2 linked regions of the Rattus norvegicus genome follow. The protein of the gene in region 1 interacts with the protein of each later gene in a biochemical or structural test. Links are inferred from orthologs where the notes say so. Each region holds a gene or a part of one and is shown in the gene's direction. Other genes may lie near its edges. The genes, in order: Btk and Sh3bp5.

Evidence for each region.
Region 2: the proteins of Btk (region 1) and Sh3bp5 form a complex in vitro, tested with the Homo sapiens proteins (2 studies listed by BioGRID, with this or other methods). The link is inferred for Rattus norvegicus from reciprocal best matches to the Homo sapiens genes BTK and SH3BP5.

The regions. Positions count from the first base shown.
Region 1 is NC_086039.1:102,040,796-102,051,031, reverse strand, and holds part of Btk (tyrosine-protein kinase BTK), read left to right. Parts: intron 1-4,371; 5' UTR 4,372-4,401; coding exon 4,402-4,542; intron 4,543-5,223; coding exon 5,224-5,328; intron 5,329-9,567; coding exon 9,568-9,636; intron 9,637-10,236. UniProt on the Homo sapiens protein: Non-receptor tyrosine kinase indispensable for B lymphocyte development, differentiation and signaling. Binding of antigen to the B-cell antigen receptor (BCR) triggers signaling that ultimately leads to B-cell activation.
Region 2 is NC_086034.1:6,648,053-6,658,813, reverse strand, and holds the start of Sh3bp5 (SH3 domain-binding protein 5), read left to right. Parts: upstream 1-4,102; 5' UTR 4,103-4,104; coding exon 4,105-4,248; intron 4,249-5,934; coding exon 5,935-5,997; intron 5,998-7,053; exon of another isoform or gene 7,054-10,761. UniProt on the Homo sapiens protein: Functions as a guanine nucleotide exchange factor (GEF) with specificity for RAB11A and RAB25. Inhibits the auto- and transphosphorylation activity of BTK. Plays a negative regulatory role in BTK-related cytoplasmic signaling in B-cells.

The DNA.
Region 1 (10,236 bases):
TTCTGAGTTTAAGGCCAGCCTGATCTACATAGTGAGTTCCAGGATAGCCAGGACTATGTAATGAGACCTTCTCAAAGAAAAGAGAAAGGAATAGAAAAGAAAAGAAGAGAAGAGAAGAGAAAAGAAAAGAAAAAGAGCTACTGGGTTTAATAGCACCACATAAATTGGGTGTGGGAATGCAGGCCCATAATCCCAACACTCAGTGCACAGAGGAAGGAGAAGATCAGAAGGCCATGGTCATCCTTGACTACATAGGAACAGCCTCAGCTACATGGAACCTTGGTGGGGTGGGAGGAAGAAAAATCAACCTAAATCAACCTGGGAAGTAATAGCATGCTACAGAAACTGCAGGAGCTATAGATGGATGAAGATGGACAAGGTACACAGGCTACACATATTAATTTTATTATGTTTGTTGTCAAGAACCAATGAAATAACCCATGTAAGATGTTGGTCAGAAGTTGGGATGTGTGGCTCAGTGGTAGAGCTCTAGCCTAGCCCGCACAAGGTCCTGAGCTTCATCCCTAGCACCACAAACATAAACGATAAAATAATCTAAAGTGACTGACAGCTAGATGACACTAGAACAGGACTTCTTTCCTTTTTGTTTCATAAAGAATAGAAATAGCCAGATGCTTGATGGCCAACTATCAAGAGCTTTAAAGGAGAAATAATGAGAAAATGCTACTTCTTTGATATTCTGGTTAAGTAGTTCTGTTGGAGTACTATTGACTCACAGCTCTCTCATCAACTCTCTCCAATCGTAGGTGAGCTGGGTCATTTCCTCCATATTGCTTCAGTTGTTTCTAGTAGTATTTCATCTTACCCTAAGCAAGGATAATTGCCAGTAATGATTTCATTTATTGATTCTTCAAGTGCTATTGATATTAATGCTTTGGCATGGTGCAGGTTGTGTGATAACTGAACTCTGACTAATAGGCTTCCTCTTTTTGAATTCTACTGCTGCATATAGAGCTGAGAGGCTGCAAAAAGGTGCCTATGTGTACTCCTTGTATTTGGATTTTAATAATGTTACAACACTGAAACTATGTGTCACACCAACAACTCGGATTTTCTCCCTTTTCTTTCTTCCCACCTGTATGAAGCCCTCTCAGTATATGTGACATTTCTGTTACTTCAGTTTCCACTGAGTCTCTCACCCCTTGACTAACACATGCAAGGTCAGCTCTCATCATGCATATTTTTGTGTGTGTTTGAATGGCATCTATTAGCCAATGAAATCACTAGAGGCAAAATTAGAGCTTCCCACAATAAGTAGCTCCAAGGCTCTACCTGTTATCTTCTATATTATTGGCTGGTGGACCAGAGGTACCTAAGAAGGAAGTACCTCCTTTTTAGGCTGTGTGAGTCTGGATTGCATTCTAAGGAAAGGAAGAAGAACGAAGGGATAGCAAACCATGGACATTGCAGTAACCATGCAGTTCAACGGTCTAGAGGTAGAGGCTATCTTACTCCTCGCTCAGAGTGGCATAGTGGCTTACTTCCTCATATTAGACTAGCACTAAAGCTTACCTCGACACAAGCACTGTACAAATTGGATTTGTTCAAAGAAGGAAGGAAGGAAGGAAGGAAGGAAGGAAGGAAGGAAGGAAGGAAGAGGCAACAGCAGCACATGTCTTATAGGACATTAGAGCAGGTATCAGGACTGAAACTGACAATGGGTCTAAGCAGGAACGTGTTCACTAAGATCATACAACATAATAGAAGGTAAAAAGGCTCATGGTTCCTTGGGATGCATTTGACCCTCTACTGCTCATGCTACTCAGTTTCCTTAGGGTTTTATTTTGCCTTCTGTAATTTGGGTCTTTGATTATGAAAAGACACTTGATTGTAATTCATCATGAAGCAAGAGTGATATTATCGCAAATGGCTTAGCAGTCAATAAGTAATAATGACTTATTAGTTGCAATCAATAAGTGATAATGACTTATTAATTACAAGCAACAAAGTGATAATTACTTAGTAATTATAATTAATAAGTAACGATGACTTATTAATTACAATTACTAAGTAATAACCAAATGATAAGTAATAATAACTTATTACTCCATGACATAGCAATTAATAAGACTAGAGTATAAGGTTTGCTGTGTTACCACTGCTTGTCAGTAATTGGAGAATTATGCTATTAAGCGAAAATTTGGAGGTTGGCTGAAACTGAAGGTAGGACTGACGGCTTGTCACTCTGGTGGGAGTCCATTTTAGGCAGAGGGCAAGAAAGGGGACTTATGTAGCAAGGTGAAGGGAAGGGTTTGCATTTCTGCATCATTTCTTTTTAAAGATTACTAACAAAACACTAACCTGAGCTGGAGAGATGGCTCAGCCATTTAGAGCAATGACTGCTCTTCTAGAGGGCCTGAGTTCAAATCCCAGCAACCACATGGTGGCTCACAACCATCTGTAATGAGATCTGATGTCCTCTCCTGGTGTGTCTGAGGACAGTGACAGTGTACACAGATACATAAAATAAAGAAATAAATCTTTTTAAAAAATTAACCCAACCCACTGCCAGAAGGCTGCAGCAACTGTGCCATAGACAGAAAGCAGAGATCATTCTGACAGTCTCTGAAACCATTTTTGTCTTCTTAGCATGGTAATAGAACTGTCTGGGGTTGGGGATTTAGCTCAGTGGTAGAACGCTTGCCTAGCAAGTGCAAGACCCTGGGTTTGGTCCCCAGTTCCGGAAAAAAAAAAAAAAAAGAACTGTCTACACCACAGGAAAGGGCAAAACAACTGTACATAGCACCAGGCTTTAATTAAAAACCACCAAACCAAACCAAACCAACCCCAACCCCCCCTTGTTCTCCCTCCTTTAAAAAAAATCACCTTTTCAGAGGAAAAAAAGTAGAAGTGCTGACTTTACTTTTTTGGTTTTTATAGTGCCACAAAAAGCAAAAGGTATTTCGTGAGAATAAAATTTCACACTCCTTCCAGGGAAAAGGCCTCTGATTCTAAGCTAAGTTCCAAGGAGATATAATGATTTTTTTGTTACTCTGTGGTCCGTTTTTATGACTATCATCTTTTCACATATGTTTCTAATGAAACTTTAGAATTGGCAGAATTGTGTGTAAACTTTAGGTAGATTGAGGTAAGAGTGTGTGTGTTTGCTCACACACATACGAGCGTGCGCGTGTATGTCTGTCTGTCTGTCTGTCATTCTTGAGCTGTGCTTGGTGTGCATACCTATAGTCTAGATAGCACTGCAGATGCTGAAGCAGCAGAATTGGTCTGACGTCTGGGCCTGTCTTGGCTTCCAAATGAGTGGAAGGTCAGCATGAGCTACATTGGGGTTTCAATCCTCAGCACCACAGAAAAGCATTTGATGGCTTTGTGGAATTTTCTGGAGAATTCTAAGCATATTTCTCTTCCTAAATAAGCACAGCTGGCATCCTTAAGAGTAACATAGTTACTTTACTTTTTAAAAAAATATATGTGTTATTTTATTGTATGGTTATGAGTGTTTTGCCTGTACTAACATATATGCACCACTAGCATAGTGGATGCCCAAGGACAGAAGAAGGCACCAAATATCCTGAAACTAGGGTTACAAGTGTTTGTGAGCCATCATCTGGGTGTCAGAAACTGAATCCTGATTTTCTGCAGGAACAACAAGTGCTTTTAACCACTGCTCCATTGATACATCACTTTTACCTGGTGCCATCTGAAAGAAACCATCTAAGGAGAAGGGAGAGGGAGGCCGAAGGGCTAAAGTACTGTAGGAAAGCTGGTCTCAGCTTGAAAACAAAGCTCTCCTTTATACCCTGGTTAGCAGGGAGTGAGCTAAGTCACCTGGCTGGCAGTTATTGTGTGCTCATAAGTACAGGTGAAGCCTCCATGTCTTTTTAGCTACAGACCTGAGCGGGTAACTTTCGAAAGATTACATCATTGTTTAAGATCCTGGGAACTGAAAGTTCAGTGTGTGCCTTAGTGACTTCTGGTACTTGAATTCTCCCTTTGAGCATATCAGGGTCAATGGTTTCACAGAAAATTTTGCAGTTTACAGATTTGGAATGTGCCATAAAAGGGTAAATAGTGTAACGTGGTGTCTAGATATTCCTGACCACCCGAGGGCACACTGTTGGCCTACAGAGCATTCAGTTCCCTTACACAAGAAGCCCAGTTTTATAAACTCAGCACGTAGAATCAATCCCCTGGTTAAATAGTATGCATTCACTGTACTTGAAATTTGACCAAGTTGGGGACTGTGAAAGAAGATGTTCAGGCAGAAATAAGGCTCCTTGCTAGTGCTATCTATTTGTGTTTTGTTTACAACAGGTAGCAGGGTTAAGGCAGAACCAAGTAGGACAAAAATGACTATGCTAGAACCTTAAAACCTTTTACTATCCACAGCACACAGACAAGTTCCAGAGAGAGGAAGCCATGGCTGCTGTGATACTGGAGAGCATCTTTCTGAAGCGCTCCCAGCAGAAAAAGAAAACATCACCTTTAAATTTTAAGAAGCGCCTATTTCTCCTGACTGTGCACAAACTTTCATACTATGAATATGACTTTGAACGTGGGGTAAGTTTCCCAAATTACGAAGCGCAAATTTCACTATTTCAAGGACATAGTCTTGGATCTTCTGTGAGACACGAGATATGTCTTCCATGGTAGCAAGGGTTGGTGGGTAGGAATTAAGTAAACCTAAGTACATCAAACTCAAAAAAATATTTCCTAGCCTAGGAGGAGGTACAGTCATGCCAGGGAAAAAAGTCAAGGGTGTTAGGAAGCTATTCAGAATGTCTTACCATGGGATTGTGTGGTTGGTAAGAACTCACTATATGCTTGTTGAGAATAAAATCCAAGAACTTGACATCGCTTTTTTATTTCTGTGGCAAAAATGCATATAATCATTTATTCTTCTATGTTATCTGCTTCCCATTTGGTATTTAAAGGTTAGATAAAATGTTGGATTTTTTTCAAACTAACAGGTTCTGCCAGGCACAGTGACACATACTTTTACTCCCAGCACTCGGGTTTATGTAGTGAGTTCTAGGCCAGCCAGGGCTACATAGTGAAACCTGTGTCCAAAACAAACGAACAAAAACAAAACAAAACAAACAAACAAAAAAACCAAAAAAAGGTTCTGTTAGGTTGCAAGTACCACCTCACCACGACAGTGACTAGATAACAGTGTGTAAATATCTGGTTGCTTGATCACTCGTAATCTTCCTCCATTTTCTTCCTCATTCTTTCCTTCAGAGAAGAGGCAGTAAGAAAGGTTCAATAGATGTCGAGAAGATCACCTGTGTTGAAACAGTAGTTCCTGAAAAAAATCCCCCACCAGAAAGACAGATTCCAGTTCCGGTAAGATGAAGCTTGTGTCAAAGAGGGGGAGCTACAGACTGTAAGGCGCTTGAAATTCTCAAATACTCCAAATACAACGGTGGTGGTGTAGTGCATTGTTTTGTTTCCTTAACAAATTCTTCACAGGGAGCCAGCAAGATTGTTCAGTGGGGAGGGGAACTTGCTGCCACACCTGATGACTTGAGCTCCATCCCTGAAAATTGTCCTCTCACCTCCACCTAAGAACTGTGCCTCATATGTGGACACTCGCGCACGCGTGCGCACGCATACACACACACACACACACACACACACACACACACACACACACACGAAACAAATAGCAAGAATGCAAGAAAAATAATTGTTTTCATTCAGGCTGGATATGGTAAAGTGCTTGCCACAGCAAGCCCAAGGTCTTCAGAATCCCCAGAATTCACCTCAAGCCAGGCCTGGCAGTGCATTTGTAAACTCAGCACTCCTATGGCAAGATGGGAGGTGGAGACAGGAGAATTCCTGGAAGCTCAAGGTCCAACTAGTTTGACATATGCAACAGCTGAAAAAGTGACCTTGTCTCAAAGAAGGTGGGAGGCGAGAACTGATACCCGAGGCTGTCCTCTGACATGCACAGGCACACTCCTGCAAATACATACATACACATACATACATACATGCATGTTTTAAAAATTGCTTTCCTTTTTTGAAGATTTACTTTTAAATATGTGTATTATGTTTATATGTGGCTATGCATGTTATATATATATATACATACGTCTATACATACATATATATACACACTCATATACATTATATAATTAGAATATAATATTATTATATACCTTGACTTATTTTCTTTGGGAAGGGGTTGGTATTTTAGATTTTTTATGGGTGTGTGTAGCATAAGCTTATGCAAATACACATGAACCTGTTTGAGTGTATGTGGGAGCCAGGGGCCTTTCTCTGTCAGTCACTCTCCTCCTTTTCTGTGTAAACTTTTAAAATTATATTTATCTGTGTGTGTATTATGTATGTATGTATGTATGTATGTATGTATGTATGTATGTGTGTATGTATGTATGTACTCGTTATTTATTTGAGACAGAGTGATTGCTAGCCAGGAATACATTATGTAGACCTGCCTGAATTTAAACTCAGAGGCTCACCTGCCTCTGCCCCCTCAGTGCTCGGATTACAAGTGTGTGCTAGCAGGCCTGGCTGCACTTAGTTGTTTGTTTGTTTGGTGCATGTAAGTGGGTAGGTTCAAACGCACCACAGCATAAATATGGAAGCCAGAGGTCAACTCATGGAAATCAGGTCTTGCCTTCCACCATCAAGTTCCTGGAGATTGGACTGACGTCACCAGGCTCGGTGACAAGTGCTTTGACTCTCCGAGCCATTTGGGGAGCTGGAGTTACAGACATTTATTAACTGCCAAGTTGGTGTTGAAAATCAAATCCAGGTTCTCTGAAAAAAAAAACAGCCATCTCCTTAGAAACTATCTCCCTATCCCCCCTTTAAAAGGTTTACTACTTTGTGAATGTTTGTGTGCATGTATGTGCACTACATGCATGCCTGCTACCTGGTGTCAGTGGAGGCCAGAACACTGTATAAGTTCTGCTGTTTTCTGGGTCCCCTGAAATTGAAGTTGCAGGCAGTTGTGAGCCTCCATGTAGGGCCTGGGAACCAAATCCTGGTCCTTTGCAAGATTAGCAAGTACTCTTTGCTTTTTCTGGATTTTCAAGCAGGTGTGTGTGTGTGTGTGTGTGTGTGTGTGTGTGTGTGTGTGTGTGTGTGTCCCTAGCTCCTGGAACTTATTCTGTACACCAAGCTGGCCTCAGAGTCACAGAGATCTGCCGGCCTCTGCCTCCCTAGTGCTGGGATCAAAGGTGTGTGCCCCAAACATTTTTTTAAGGTATTTGAGTGTTTTGCCTGCATGTATGTAAAGATGCTGTGTTTGAATGTCTGGTGTGAATGGAGGCCAGAAGAGGGTGTCAGAGTGACTGGGCCTAAAGTTCCAGGTGTTTGTGAGCTGTGATGTGAGTCCTGAGATGTAAACTGAGTCCTCTGCAGGAACAGGCTCTACTCTTAATTGCTGAGTCATCTCTCCAACTCCAATAATGCTTTTATTATTTTTGTTTATATTACATTTCATTTTCTAGACGTTGAAAACTACGTAGGATGTATTTCTCTCCCCATTCTCTATAACATGAGATATTTCAAATAATAGTTAAATTTTCAGAGAAAACATATTTTATTGCTGACTTATTTTTACCGATAAGATTAAACAATAATGTGTCATTTGTGAATTGTATGTTTCTATTTGACCACTTTTTTGAGGTATTTACTGAGTTTCTCCCACTTTCAAAGGCATCTTGATATAAGACTATCAGTCCTTTGTTAATATTATTGTGTTGAAAATATTCTTCCAGTTTTTTAGTCTTTGAATTTGGTTTTGGTTTATTTTATTCTGCCCATGCCTCTTTCCTTCCTCTTGCCTATCTGTCTCTCCTCCTCTTCCCCCTCTTGCCCCTCCCCCCCTCCTCCTCCCCCTCCTCCCCCTCCTCCTCTTTCTTCAAGAAATGGTCTCTGTATGTATTTCCAGATGGCCAGGCTGGTCTTGACCTTATGGAAAGCAGGTTCTGTCTCCCAGATAGTAAGATTAAATGTATATGCCAACACATACAGCTCTTTCTTTCTTCTTCCTCTTCCTCTTCCTCTTCTTTTTCTTCTTCTTCTTCCTCCTCCTCCTCCTCCTCTTCTTTTTCTTCTTCTAAATTTTCTTCTTCTTGGATATTTTATCTATTTATATTTCAAATGTTCTCCCCTGCCCTGTTTTCCATATCCCCTCCCCCTGCTTCTGTGGGGATGCACCCATTCCCAGCCACCCACTCCAACTTCAATGCCCTGGCATTACCCTACATTGAGGAAACGAGCCTTCACAGCACCAAGGGATTTTCCTCCTATTGATGCTGGACAATGCCATCCTCTGCTGCATATGTGACCTCTTTTTCTGTTTGTATTTTTGACAGTCTGACAGTCTCCCTCTGTAGCACAGGTAGCCCAAGTTGGCTTAAACTCCCTCTGTACCCAGGCTCCCAAGTACTGGGATTACAGCTGTGTACCATCACACCCACATCCTCATTTCTCTATAATTGTTTTTTTGGCAGTGCTGGTACTTGAATCCAGAATATCGTGCATATAAGGCAAGCACTCTAGCAGTGAGCTACAGCCCCATCCCATCATGCTTCTACTTTCATCTTATTTGCTTAATTCTATCCGAACTTTACATTTGAGTGTGATGTGAAATAGCAATCTAATTCCTAATTGCTGAGAAATTACATTTTTGCCAATGTTTTGAAATGCCTATGGATCTATTGGAATGGAAGTAATCATTAAGAAATTATTTTGGTCCCTGGAGAGATGGTTCAGTAGTTGAAAGCAATCGTTCCTCTTTCAGAGGCATAGGTACAGTTTCTAACATGCGACTGGATGGCTCACCATCAGTACAACTCCAGGTCCAGGGCAAACCATGCCATTTTCTGGCATCTATAGATAGACAGGCGACTAAATACAAAATAAACATTTTTAAAAAAATAAAGGTCTGACATTTTTGCTAGAGTTTTTTGATGCCATGGGAGAAGATTCCCAGTACTGAAAGAAACCTGGAAAAGAGCAGCACTTCTGTCTTAGTTACTTTTCTATTACTGTGTAAACACCATGGCCAAAAGAACTTATAAAAGAAATGTTTAGGGGCTGGAGAGATGGCTTGTGGTTAAGAGACAGCCTGCTCTTCCAGAGGTCCTGAGTTCAATTCCCAGCAACCACATAGTGGCTCACAAGCATCTGTAATGGGATCTGATGCCCACTTCTGGCATGCAGGTGTACATGCAGATAGAGCACTCATATACATAAATAAATAACCATTACGAAAAGAAATGTTTAATTTGGGGCTTATGGTTTCAGAGGGTTAGAGTCTATGATGGTGGAGCAGAGGCATGTCCACAGGAACAGCTGAGAGCTTACTTACACCATGGTCCACACCTCAGAAGCTGAGAGGTTGAAAATGAGTCTTTTGAAACCCCCAAGCCTATCTCCAGTGACACATGTCCCCCAAGTACAGCACACATCCTAATCCTTCTAACCAAAGATTCCACCAACTAGGGACCAAGTATTCAAATTCATGAGCCAATGGAGGCCATTCTCATCCAAACCACCACAGCATCCATAGGTAACCAACTCTATTTCCTTTTTTCATTACAGAGGAGGGGTGAGGAGTCCAGTGAAATGGAACAGATTTCAATCATTGAAAGGTTCCCGTACCCATTTCAGGTGAGTTATTTTATCTAAGGCACTCTGAAAAAGCCTCTGTAATGAGTAATTAGAAATGAATTGAAGGATACTAGGTCCCAGTGAGTAGAAATTGAAGCCATCAAGGAAGACATGTTAAGGAACCAGGCCTGTTTGGCCCACTGCACAGTATGGCAGTCACTAAATTGAGTTTCCAAGAGAGAAAGAGTTTATTTACAAGGTAGAAAGAGGAGACGCATATCTTAAATAGTCTTCTCTGCTAGGGTTGGAGGACATTTATTGAGAATGTAAGCACGGCAACTTAAGGTATGGACACAGGTGGTTAAAGATAATCAGTTGTTGGCAAATGCAGAATCAATTGTCACTGCTCTTCCTGGGACACATATTCAGAAAATGCATAATCTGAGGGTGGAGTTTTTATCTCTATTAGATCATTCTTTGAGGATCTGTACCGGCACACGTGAAGAGCCAATGGTTTCTCTTAATTTTCTCTTTCCACACTACCCCTTCTAATTTTTCTCTCTCTCAGCCCACTCTCTTTCCTTCGAATCCCCTTCTCCTAACCTCCCCAACCCCCATTCTAACCCTCTTCCTTTCCCTCCTGACCCCACCTCCCTTTTA
Region 2 (10,761 bases), on another chromosome or scaffold:
ATGTGTCACCCTGCCTAGCATGAAAAAGATTCCAAGGACCATCAGCACAGCTGTCCTGCTGAAGACGGAAATGTGATACCGGGAGATGCTGGGGCTGCCACTGAGCGTTTAGTAAATAAACCAAGTGGGTATAAATGGAAACACGCTGAAGCTCAGGCTCGAGGGGAGGACCAAGGATGGGCCCCTCTGTGGGAGCTCAGCTCGTTTGCTTGCCCCGGACATCAGATGTGGACAACACAGGCACAGCAATGTGACAGGGCTGCAGAAGGGAGGGTCACAGAGGACGGTAGACTTCATCCACACAGGCCCTGGGAGATGTCCCAACCAGGGAGGACCAGGCCAGCGCAAGCCTAGCCTGACACACGTCTTTGCTGTCGTCCCGCCCAGATTACACCACTTCTAAAGGGCAGCTGGGAAGCACGGAGCTGTGAGTTTTATCTGGGAAGATTTTCCTCCTGAGGGAGTGGTAATAAGGCAGATTACAAACACAGGCGGCATATTTCTCCCACTGTGTGGGGTTAAACAAACCTTTACAGGGCAATAAAAATAAATTAAACACCAGTGGAATCTTTAAGCAAAATACTTCTCAGGATTTTTGACTAAGGCATTCCACCTGTGTTAATCAGACTTTTTAAATTTTTCTTATTTAATGTGTATAGGTGTTCTGTATGTTGTATACCACATGTGTGCCTTCTAGCCAACAGAGGCTAGAAGACAGCATCAGGAGCCCCTGGAACTGGAGACATTCTTAACTGCCGTGCAGTCCTGGGAAATTAACCTAGGTCCTCTGTCTCAATTCTGTCTGACCAGTTCTCAACCTATCGAAAGGGCCTCGACCCTCACAGGGTGACATATCAGACATCCTGGGTATCAGATATTTGCATTATGATTCATAACAGTAGCAAAATTAGTTATAAAATAGCAATGAAAATAATTTTATGGTTGGGGTCACCACAACATGAGGGACTGTTTTAAAGACTTATACAGCATTGGGAAAGTTGAGAATCCCTGCCCTAGAATATCACCCAGTGCCACCTCTCCAGCCCCTAATCATCACTGTGACAAATACATGAGAGAAATAAGGGAAGATTTACTTTAGCTCCTAGTTTTAGTTCATGCCTTGGACTTGAGGCAAGCCTTGAACATTATGGCGTCAGGAGCAGATAATGGAGGCTGTTCACCTCACGGTGGCCGAGAAGCAGAGGAGGAAGGGAAAGATACGCTCCCCACTGACCCACTTTCTTCAGCTAGCCTGCAACTTCCACAACTCCATTACCTTCCAGCAGTCTCGTCAGGTTCTGGGGTCATCTACGGCCATCCCAGTGGCAGAGGCAGAACTTGCGTGTTTGGATCATTTCCCCAAAGCCCCTCCTCTCAGAGCCTCTGAAAGCCTGGCAGGGTTGCCACCCCTGAAACAGGTTACTGGACAAAGCACTGAGAGCTGTTTTCATGATGTGAACGACACATTGTGATCGGGTAGTCGGTGCTTCCTGAAATTGACCAAACGCAGATCCAGGAAAGGATCATCACAGCGTACTTTACCTAACCAGCCCCTGGGGCATCTCAAACTGTAAAGTTAAGCTCAAAGTCTCTAAAGTGGCCAACAGGATCCCAGCCAGAGCTACGCCAACTGGGACTAGCCCACAGGGTGCTGGGGGGAGGGGTAAGCAGCCACTGTTTTGAGTTCTGGCTGTGTAGCTCAGGCTGGTCTAGAACTTGTGATCCTCTGGGACTTGCCTCAGGTTGTTCACCCATGCTGAACTCTTAACTCCAAATAGTCTTAGGAAGTAAATTGAAGCTTTGGAAGTGATAAGGCCAGGAGGGTTGAGGGTCTGAGCAAATGGGATTAATATATGTATAAAAAGAGACCACAGAGTTTTCCTAAGGCTTTCTTTCTGACATAAAGTTCGTTGAGCAGATGGAAGTCTACAAGCCCAGGAGGGCCCTTCTCAGCTCTTGACTTTGCTGGCATCTTGTCCTGTGATTTCTGGCTTACAGAATCAGGAGTGGGTGCCATTTAGGAGCTGTGGTATTTTGACACAGCAGCCCTCCCCAACAAGGGTCCTCCTTCAGTATGTGGAGTAGTTAGCAAAGTGTTTCCTGCTGCCTGGTGGGGTTACCCCAGTATAAGTCTGAGAACTTGTAATACAAAGAGTATGTCACTCTGTCCATGTGGTAATGACCTTGGGGGGTGGAAGTAGGGTGCTGCCAGCCAGACAGTGGTGGCACATGCCTTTAATTCCAGCACTAGAGACAGCCAGGGGGATCTCTGAGCTCTAGGCCAGCCTGGTCCTCAGAGCAAGTTTTAGGACAGCCAGGGCTACACAGAAAACCGTGTCCCATCCCCCCCACCCCCCACCCCCGAAAAAAGAAAAACTGGAGGGAGGGAGGGAGGGAGAAAGAGAGAGAGAGAGAGAGAGAGAGAGAGAGAGAGAGAGAGAGAGAGAGTTGTATATTGAATTGTACAGGGGCGCTTGATTAAAACTGCAGCACTTGGGAGACAGAGGAAGGAAAATCAGAAGGTCAGGGCCAGTCCCAGGTCATGAGAACCTGACAGCAGCCTGAGCTGAGGCTGTTTCAAAGTGAGTGATGGCAAGTCAGTAGACTGACCTAATCAGGGGGAGTGTTGGAAACAGGGTCAGGCTCTTCCAGAAAGAGAGACTGAAGCACGTGAGGCCTGTGGTACAAGAGAGATTCTCTGGTGCTGGCTTTGAAGAAGACCCGCCATGGGAGAAAAGAGGCGGACACCCCCAGGGTTGTTATTCTTGGCCTTGGCTGTCAGCAAGGAAACCAGATCCCCAGACCTGAGGTTAACCAACACTAAATGAATTTGAAAGTCATTCTTCCTCAGAGCTTGCGGAAGGAACAACCTGGCTGAAACCCAGTTCAGCCCGTGAGAGCCTGAGACGAGACTGCCCAGCCCGCCTGATCCTTAATGGCCGCCATGTTCCGGCCTTATCCTTGGAATTGTACCTTTAGCAAAGAACTTTAAATCACCTCTCCCAGAATGGCCAGCAAGGTACCAGCAACAAAGAGGTGTGATCTCTTTAGAAAGAAACCTAGGGAACACACCTGGACCGTCTCCATCAAACAGGGGTGGGGCCTTGCCCAACAGTGACCCCTTTTGCTTTGCTTGGGGGGGGTGCGGGGGCAGCAGAAGCAACTCTTCTTTTGATCACAGGCTCCCAAGAACTCCTCTCTCCTCCAAACAAAGCTGTCCTCCAAACCCCATGGGATGGACCACAGCTTCCCTCTACAAAGTGTTCCCTTTGCTCGGCCATCTGACCAGGTCTTCCCTGACCTCACGTGGTCCCGGCACCTGTAACCGTACAGGGAAACCCTTCCACTGTTAGCCCTTTTGTGATGTCCCGCTGGCTAGGCAAGCTCTAGCTAGGTGATGTTGGGCAGAACCACATAGTTCCTACACTGGCCAAGCTTACCCACGAGCAGGCAGTGCGATCTCTTTAAAAAAAAGCCACCCCGATCTATTAGACCACCCCACCCCCACTCCCCCAGCTCCATGGGCTCTTCGTGCATTCAGGATATCCAGGTAGGCCCTAAGAGTTCGTGCCTTAGCTTGCTGAACTTTGTCCAGCAGACTCCAGGCTTTGGATGTCCACTCGGTGGCTGGAGGCTAGCTTTCTTCTATCTCCTGTACAGACAAGCTTACCGTAGAGGTCCTTTTTCTGTGGAACTAAGTAGACACAAAAGTAGCTTTAGAGAATGGAAATCACCTGAACTTTCCTTCTGTGCCTTGATCTGCTTCACTGGAGGCAGGAGGAAGCTAGCTTAAGGCGGCCCATGCGCGGGCCAGTGAGCCACTGGGCGGCGTCTCTCCTAGTGGCCATGACCGGGACTCCAGGGCTTTTTGTGACAGAGCGTCGGGTGACACAGGCTATCAGGGCGGTCTGGGCGAAGCGGCCGAGGTGTGCTGCAGGCCGCTGCAGACAGGGGGCAGCCGCGCCCACTTCCTCCATCACTCGGCACCCGCTGGCGGAGCACCCGGGGTGGCAGCGCTGCGCGCCCAGTCCTACCCGGTTGCGGCGAGGCCGCCCTCAGCGCGCTCCGGTCCCACTGCGCACGCTTTGCGACCTGGCTGCCCGCATGGACACGGCGCTGAAACGGAGCCGCTCTGAGGAGCCGGTGGAGCTCCCGCCGCCCGCCCGGGAGGCGGAGGAGAAAGAGGAGGAGGAAGAGAGGATGGAACAGGGCCTGGAGGAGGAGGAAGAGGTGGACCCCCGGATCCAGGTAGGACGCGTGTGACAGGACCCTACAGCCGCACCCCGCCAGGGCTGATGTGGAAGTCGATGCCTACGCGGATACTCGCCTTATAGCCCCGCGTGTTCGCAATCACGGGGTGGGAGCTGCCTAAATCCAGGAGCTGCACCAAGGGTTGGGGCACCCCATTTCAGTCTCCCCGCGGAAGGCTTCGGTGCCCGCGTGAAGGCGGCCTGATGATTGCGGGGATCCCTGCGGACCCTCGGCCCAATCCGAGGGTCCCTACAACAAGACCAGCGGTTCAAGCAGATTGCAACAAAGGAAAAAGGGGGCGGGGGCCCCGAGCGGAGTCGGGGTACCTCGGCGCGGCTTTCCGCGCTGGGAGCACTGCACAGACTCGGAGCTTCTGCGCAGCGTTACCCTGGCTGCGTGGATGCGGACATCGTGGTGGGAGAGCAGGGCAAGGTGGTTGTCGCCTGCCCCTGTAGTGTAGACTGCACCGGTGCGGGGCGCCTCGCCAGCCCTCACCTGGCAGAGGTGCCTGGCCTGGGCCACCTTCCTCTTTTGGTTCATTGTCAGTACATGGTGGATGTCGTTGTCACCATTGGCATGGTGTTGCACTTGGCCCGAGACTGGTTTAAAACCCTCCTTTTCCTTGTGAGGTCAGTGTGAACACCCACCAGGGACAGCTGATGCGCAAAGCGTGGAGGCAGGGAGAGCAGGGAAGCCCGGCTTTCTGCTCCTCCATTTCCAGGAGAGAGAGTTAAAAAACAATTTCCAGGAGTGACAGCTTAACCTCTTCACCTTCCTAAGCACAAAGCAAATTCCTTTCCACGACCTGTTTGGTACCCTTTCCATAAATCATTTTTTAAAAAAATGCGATTAAGCATAGTTGCAATTTCTGGACCCATAATTGGTTTTAAATGCACAGATAAAGAAATACAAACATGCTTTTAACTCACCAGCTTGGGCTTAAATTAACTATTTTGTCAAATTAATACACTCAAGATCAGAAATAGCCTTCTCATTGGTTATTCTGTTAATTCAGACCCTGGGTTTGGATTTCAGAATCTTGTGGTTTTGGTGTGGAATTTTGTTAGCAAGACCTTTGTTCACAGAGTAGAGATGAGTTACCTCATGTCAGCTCCTTCTTACAAAGTGTCAAGTTGCAAATGTTCAAAAGAGGTCCGATTAAAGCCAGGTAACCAACAGCACCCAGGTAGGCAGAGCAAATAATGTGTGTGCGGTTAGAAAAACAAAATCATCTCTTTATAGGAAACTAGCCATGATGAGTTAATGTTGGAAGTCTGCCTTTGGCCCGGCTGCACTGGCCTTGTGTTTCAGTGTGTCGGAATGTTTCTGTACTGATTTCCTTGAAAAGTTCTTTCCTAAGCAAAGGGTGCTGTTTTGACTAAATTACTGTTTGTAACAGGTGAGTTCACCTGGAAAAAAAAAACAATGACCTTTCAGGGAAAGATAAACCTGTAGGACCTTAAAGATGTCAAAAAAAAAAAAAAAAAAAAAAAGGATGCAGTCTACAAAAGACTTTAGGAATGGCAGAGGCTTTGTATTTTAGCCGATCCTCAGCTGTTTTCAGGAAGAATGAACTGGCTTGTATCATTCGAGGGAAATGTAACTGTTACACTACAGACAAAAGGCTAGCCCTGGTAACCTCTCTCCTCTCTCTCTCTCTCTCCCCCTCTCTCTCTTCATTAGGGAGAACTGGAGAAGTTAAATCAATCCACCGATGACATCAACAGACGGGAGACTGAACTTGAGGTACAGAGAGCTGGGGCGCTGTTGTTGGGTGAAGCAGTGTCAGTCACCTTTGACCCTGGGCTGCTTAGTTTTGTTTTAATAGCTGGAGGCCCATGCTTGGATGTTGAGCGACAGCGTGTGCCGGACAGTAAAACACACCCGAGTCCAGGCTGTGGGCGGATGCGTGTGGATCCAATTTCAAGTGCTGTTTTTCATTATGGAGGCTCCACTGGGACCAAAATCAAGGGCTGAGCAGGGTATTAAACAATGCGTAAGGCCCAATATTCCTGTATCTGTAGAAAAGCTAAAAGAATTGCGACTTAGCCGAACTCTTCAATGTAGTTTATGTCTCACGGTATTTTCTTTATTCCACTCGTGCTTGGAACTGCTATGGTTCCCTCGGACTTAAGCCATCCTAATGATTCACCCCTCTTTCTGATTCCCCGCCACTGTCTGTGTGCAGAATGTAATTATCTTAATGGTAACAAAAAAGATGTCTGGGCTGGGAAGGGCCTTCCTGCTGGGAAAAGTTTTGGGAGATAAGACTTGATTTGAACTTGAGAATGTTTCAGCCTTCCTGTAAACAAGTTGGGATTCTTCACAGCTACCAATTTCTAGTGGTTGGGTTACCAGCCAATGGGAGCACACCCCTGTGAGTGACTGTCAGGGCTAAGGGACTTCGGAGAGCTGCAGAGAGAACCAATTTCTACAGTAGAGGGAGCAGGATGGGCCAAGGAGAAAGCGGAGAGCACCAGGCCCCTCAGAGCCGGGGTGTGTGGTGTGAGGGAAAGGAAAATACTAAGCTGGAGTTCACTCGCAGCCTGCTTTTGGAGAGCGTGTAGCCTTGGAAGTCACAGATCCATATGTGGCAGTGTGGGCTAAAGTTTCTCTGCGTTTATCTATCACGGACTCCCATTCTCACCTATGTAGGGAATTGGAGAACTCACTGTGAAGTTGGGCAACTGAAAACTCTGAGGATCTCAAATTCTTAGTGCACTAAGCAAGCAAACAAATAAATATCTGCCAATTTTAGGGGGAAACTGGGCAATTGGAAACCATGAGTTTGCCCATTGAATATTCTCTCTCTCTCTCTCTCTCTCTCTCTCTCTCTCTCTCTCTCTCACTCTGTGTGTGTGTGTGTGTGTGTGTGTGTGTGTGTGTGTGTGTGTGTGTTTTAAACATTCTCATGTAGTCCTGGCTGACTTCAAAATCCAGTACACAGTGGAGGACGGCTTTGAACTCTGGGTTCACGTGTACACACTGGGGTCACAGGCCTGCGCCACTGTACCCAGCTACTTTCAGACTCCATAGACTCCATCCCAAACGTACATGGACAAGTTGGAAAGAATTTGTTTCTTGTTTTGAGCAGAAAGTTTGTCTTGTTTATGTTTGCAGTGTTGGACTGAGGCCCAGGGCCGATGGGCTTTTGAGGCCGGGTTCACAGAACTCAGGGACAGCTGACTAGGTCTGCTGCACTTTCCTGCAGTCCCAGCACCTGCAGGGCAGAGGCAGGAGGATCAGGGGTTAGAGGTCACATAGTCACAAGCAGCAAGCTTGAGGCAAACGACTCTGTCTCATGGAAGGAAGGAAGGAAGGAAGGAAGGAAGGAAGGAAGGAAGGAAGGAAGGCAGGCAGGAAGGAAGGCAGGCAGGAAGGAAGGAAGGCAGGCAGGAAGGCAGGCAGGCAATCAGGGACCATGGAGGCAGAGAGCTGGGGGTGGCAAGGATCAGGTTTCTGAGAGAGACGGCCAACCATGGTTCTTCTGTCCTTTCTGCTCACTTATCCACTGTTGGTCACCATTCTGGGTGTGAACAGGGTGGTCTCATAGCCCCATAACTTGGGCTTCATGGCACCTGCCTTCTGGAAGTTAGGTTGGTTCATTTGTTAAACTCTTGTTAGCCCTGATTTCCGAATTCCACAGATTTGGTGTGTCACAGGAAGTCCCCGGACAGGTGTTTCCTGCTAGGCTCTGGGTCACATTTGGAGCCCTGGCGTGTTTGTCAGGCTTCTCTAGATGAACAGAGCTCATAGAATGATTCTCTTTCTATACAGAAAGGGGGTTTATTAGAATGGCTTAAAGGCCACTGTCCAACCAGTCCAACGATGGCTGTTTACCAATGGCAGGTTCAGGAATCCAGTAGTTGCTCAGTCCACAAAACTTGATGTCTTAGCTGGTCTTCAGGAATGCACTGGAGTCCTAAGGAAGTAGGCTCTAATGTCAGTGAAGGAGTGGACTTGCTAGGGGGAGTGAGAACAAGCAGGCCAGGAGAGCAAGCCTCTTCCTTCCAAGTCCTTTCTGTGGGCTACCAGCAGAAGGTGTGGTCCAGGTTAAAGGTGGATCTTCTCACCTCAAAAGCAGTCTGGATTAAAAAGTGGGTTTTCCCACTTTATATGATTTAATTTAGAAAAAAGTCCCTCACAGATGTACGCAGCCACTTGGGTTTTGGTTAATTCCTAACGCAGTCAGTTCACAGCCAAGGGCTCACAGCTACATGGTATGGCTGAGGTTCGAGTAGAGCAGCCTGGCTGGGTGTGTTGTTGGGTGGCTTCCCCTGGTAGGGTTACAACCTGGACTGACCCAGAGACATATTAATAAGCCACAGAAGCAATTTAAAAGCTCCCTAGTTGCTCCGTAAAAATTACAAAAGACATAGGGGAAATTAGTGGTAATGTATTTTGTTTAACTCAGACTATCCCCAGTAGAATAAATTCAACAGGGATTCGGTGTAACAAAATAATTAACTTGGGAGCTGGTAGTGTGGCTCAGAGGAGGAATGCTCACTGACAAGCCCAAGGCCTTGAGGTCAATCTGCAGGACTTGGGGGAGGGGTCTGCAGGAATAGGGGTGGGCACACGGGATGCTGTTGAGGATGGAAGCTGAGGACACACACACACACACACACACACTCACACACACACACACTCTCTCACACACACACTCACACACACACACACTCTCACACACACTCTCACACGCACACATACACATACGTGCACGCGCACACACACTCACACACTCACACACGCACACACACTCACACACTCACACTCACACACACTCACACACACATACACACACGTGCACGCGCACACACACACTCACACTCTCACACACACTCACACACACACACTCACACATGCACACACGTGCACGCGCACACACACTCACACACACTCACACACTCACACACACTCACACACTCACACATGCACACACGTGCACGCGCACACACACTCACACGCACACACACTCACACACTCACACACACTCACACATACACACACGCACACACACACACACTCACACACACACACACACTCACACACACACACCACCTCCACCCCGCATGGTTCAGGGAAGCAGTCTTCAGCACTGTAACCCCAGCATCTACAGGTGTTTGTGTGCTAAGTCTTCAAAATGGCGCAGGACTTTCACTTAGCGCACACTCCCTTCGTGACCCACTGTACTTCCGAACTCAGCTGGAGTCAAGAACCCAATCACATGCGTGTGTATGAGGCTCTGGCCTCTGGCTTCGTGTCAGGGTGTGGGGTGGAAAAGACTAAACCTTGCTTTAAAGACTTTCCATTTTCACTGACTGGGTAGCTGGCAAACAACCGGAGAGCACCAGGCTGTAGACCCCGGGGTGGGAGCAAGCGGTAAGAAAGCATCCCTGGCAAAGTTCTGATCAGGGGGAACGGGGTGGGAGCAAGCGGTAAGAAAGCAACCCTGGCAAAGTTCTGATCAGGGGGAACGGAGATGTGGGGCTAGGGGTGTGGGTCTGGGGGTGTGGTCAAAAGATGCATTAGCCAGGCTTGCTTCTGTAACCCTAACATTTAGAAGGTAGAGGCCAGGGGTTGGGGATTTAGCTCAGCGGTAGAGCGCTTGCCTAGCGAGCGCAAGGCCCTGGGTTCGGTCCCCAGCTCCAAAAAAAAAAAAAAAAAAAAAAAAAGAAGGTAGAGGCCAAAGGATCCAGAGTTCAAAGGTTCCCTCAGTTACATGGTGAGTTTGAGGCCAGCCTGGGCTACACGAGACTCTGTATACAAAAACAAAATGTACAAGAGATATTGAAACAGGAGGATCACTGTGAGTTCAAAAGAACTGGACTATGTCCCTGTCGGAAATAAATAGATAAACATTTCAAAGGTTAGGCATTTGACCAGCTCATGGAAATACGACTGGAGGCTCAAAAGAACCTAGCTGTCCCTCCCTAGGAACCATTAGTGTTCTATCTGTGGTAAGAATGTTAGCATGGTACCTCAGGCCGATACTCCTAACACTTGGGAGGCTGCCTATGGGTTTTGACTTTGTGCCCATTTTGTAATCTCAGAACTTGGGAGGTGAAGGCAGATCATGTGTTCAAGGCCGTCCTGGCTTCTGTCTCAACAAAAACAGAGACACCTATTCTGTCAGGCAGGGAGCCCCAAATACAATCCCTGCTCCTATTTAGAAGTTGGATGCAGGAAGCTAACGAGACCCACAAGATTGTAGGGAACGGTCAAGGCTAGCCCAGCAACTAACTGAGACCCTGTCTCAAAGCATCTAGAAAGGGCCAGGGAGGCATGTAGGTGGTAGGTCACTTTTCTAGTAAACCCTGGTTTCAATCCCTACACGCATCCCAATAAAAAAAATCAAAACAAGTCAATAGCAATTCAATATATTATCAGCTGACTAACATTGAACTAACCTTATCTCCCATTTATGCCATGTGTCACACAGAAACACACTAAGCGCCACTACAGCATGGCATTGTCTTAAAAATCTAACAGTAAACCAGAACACGGGCA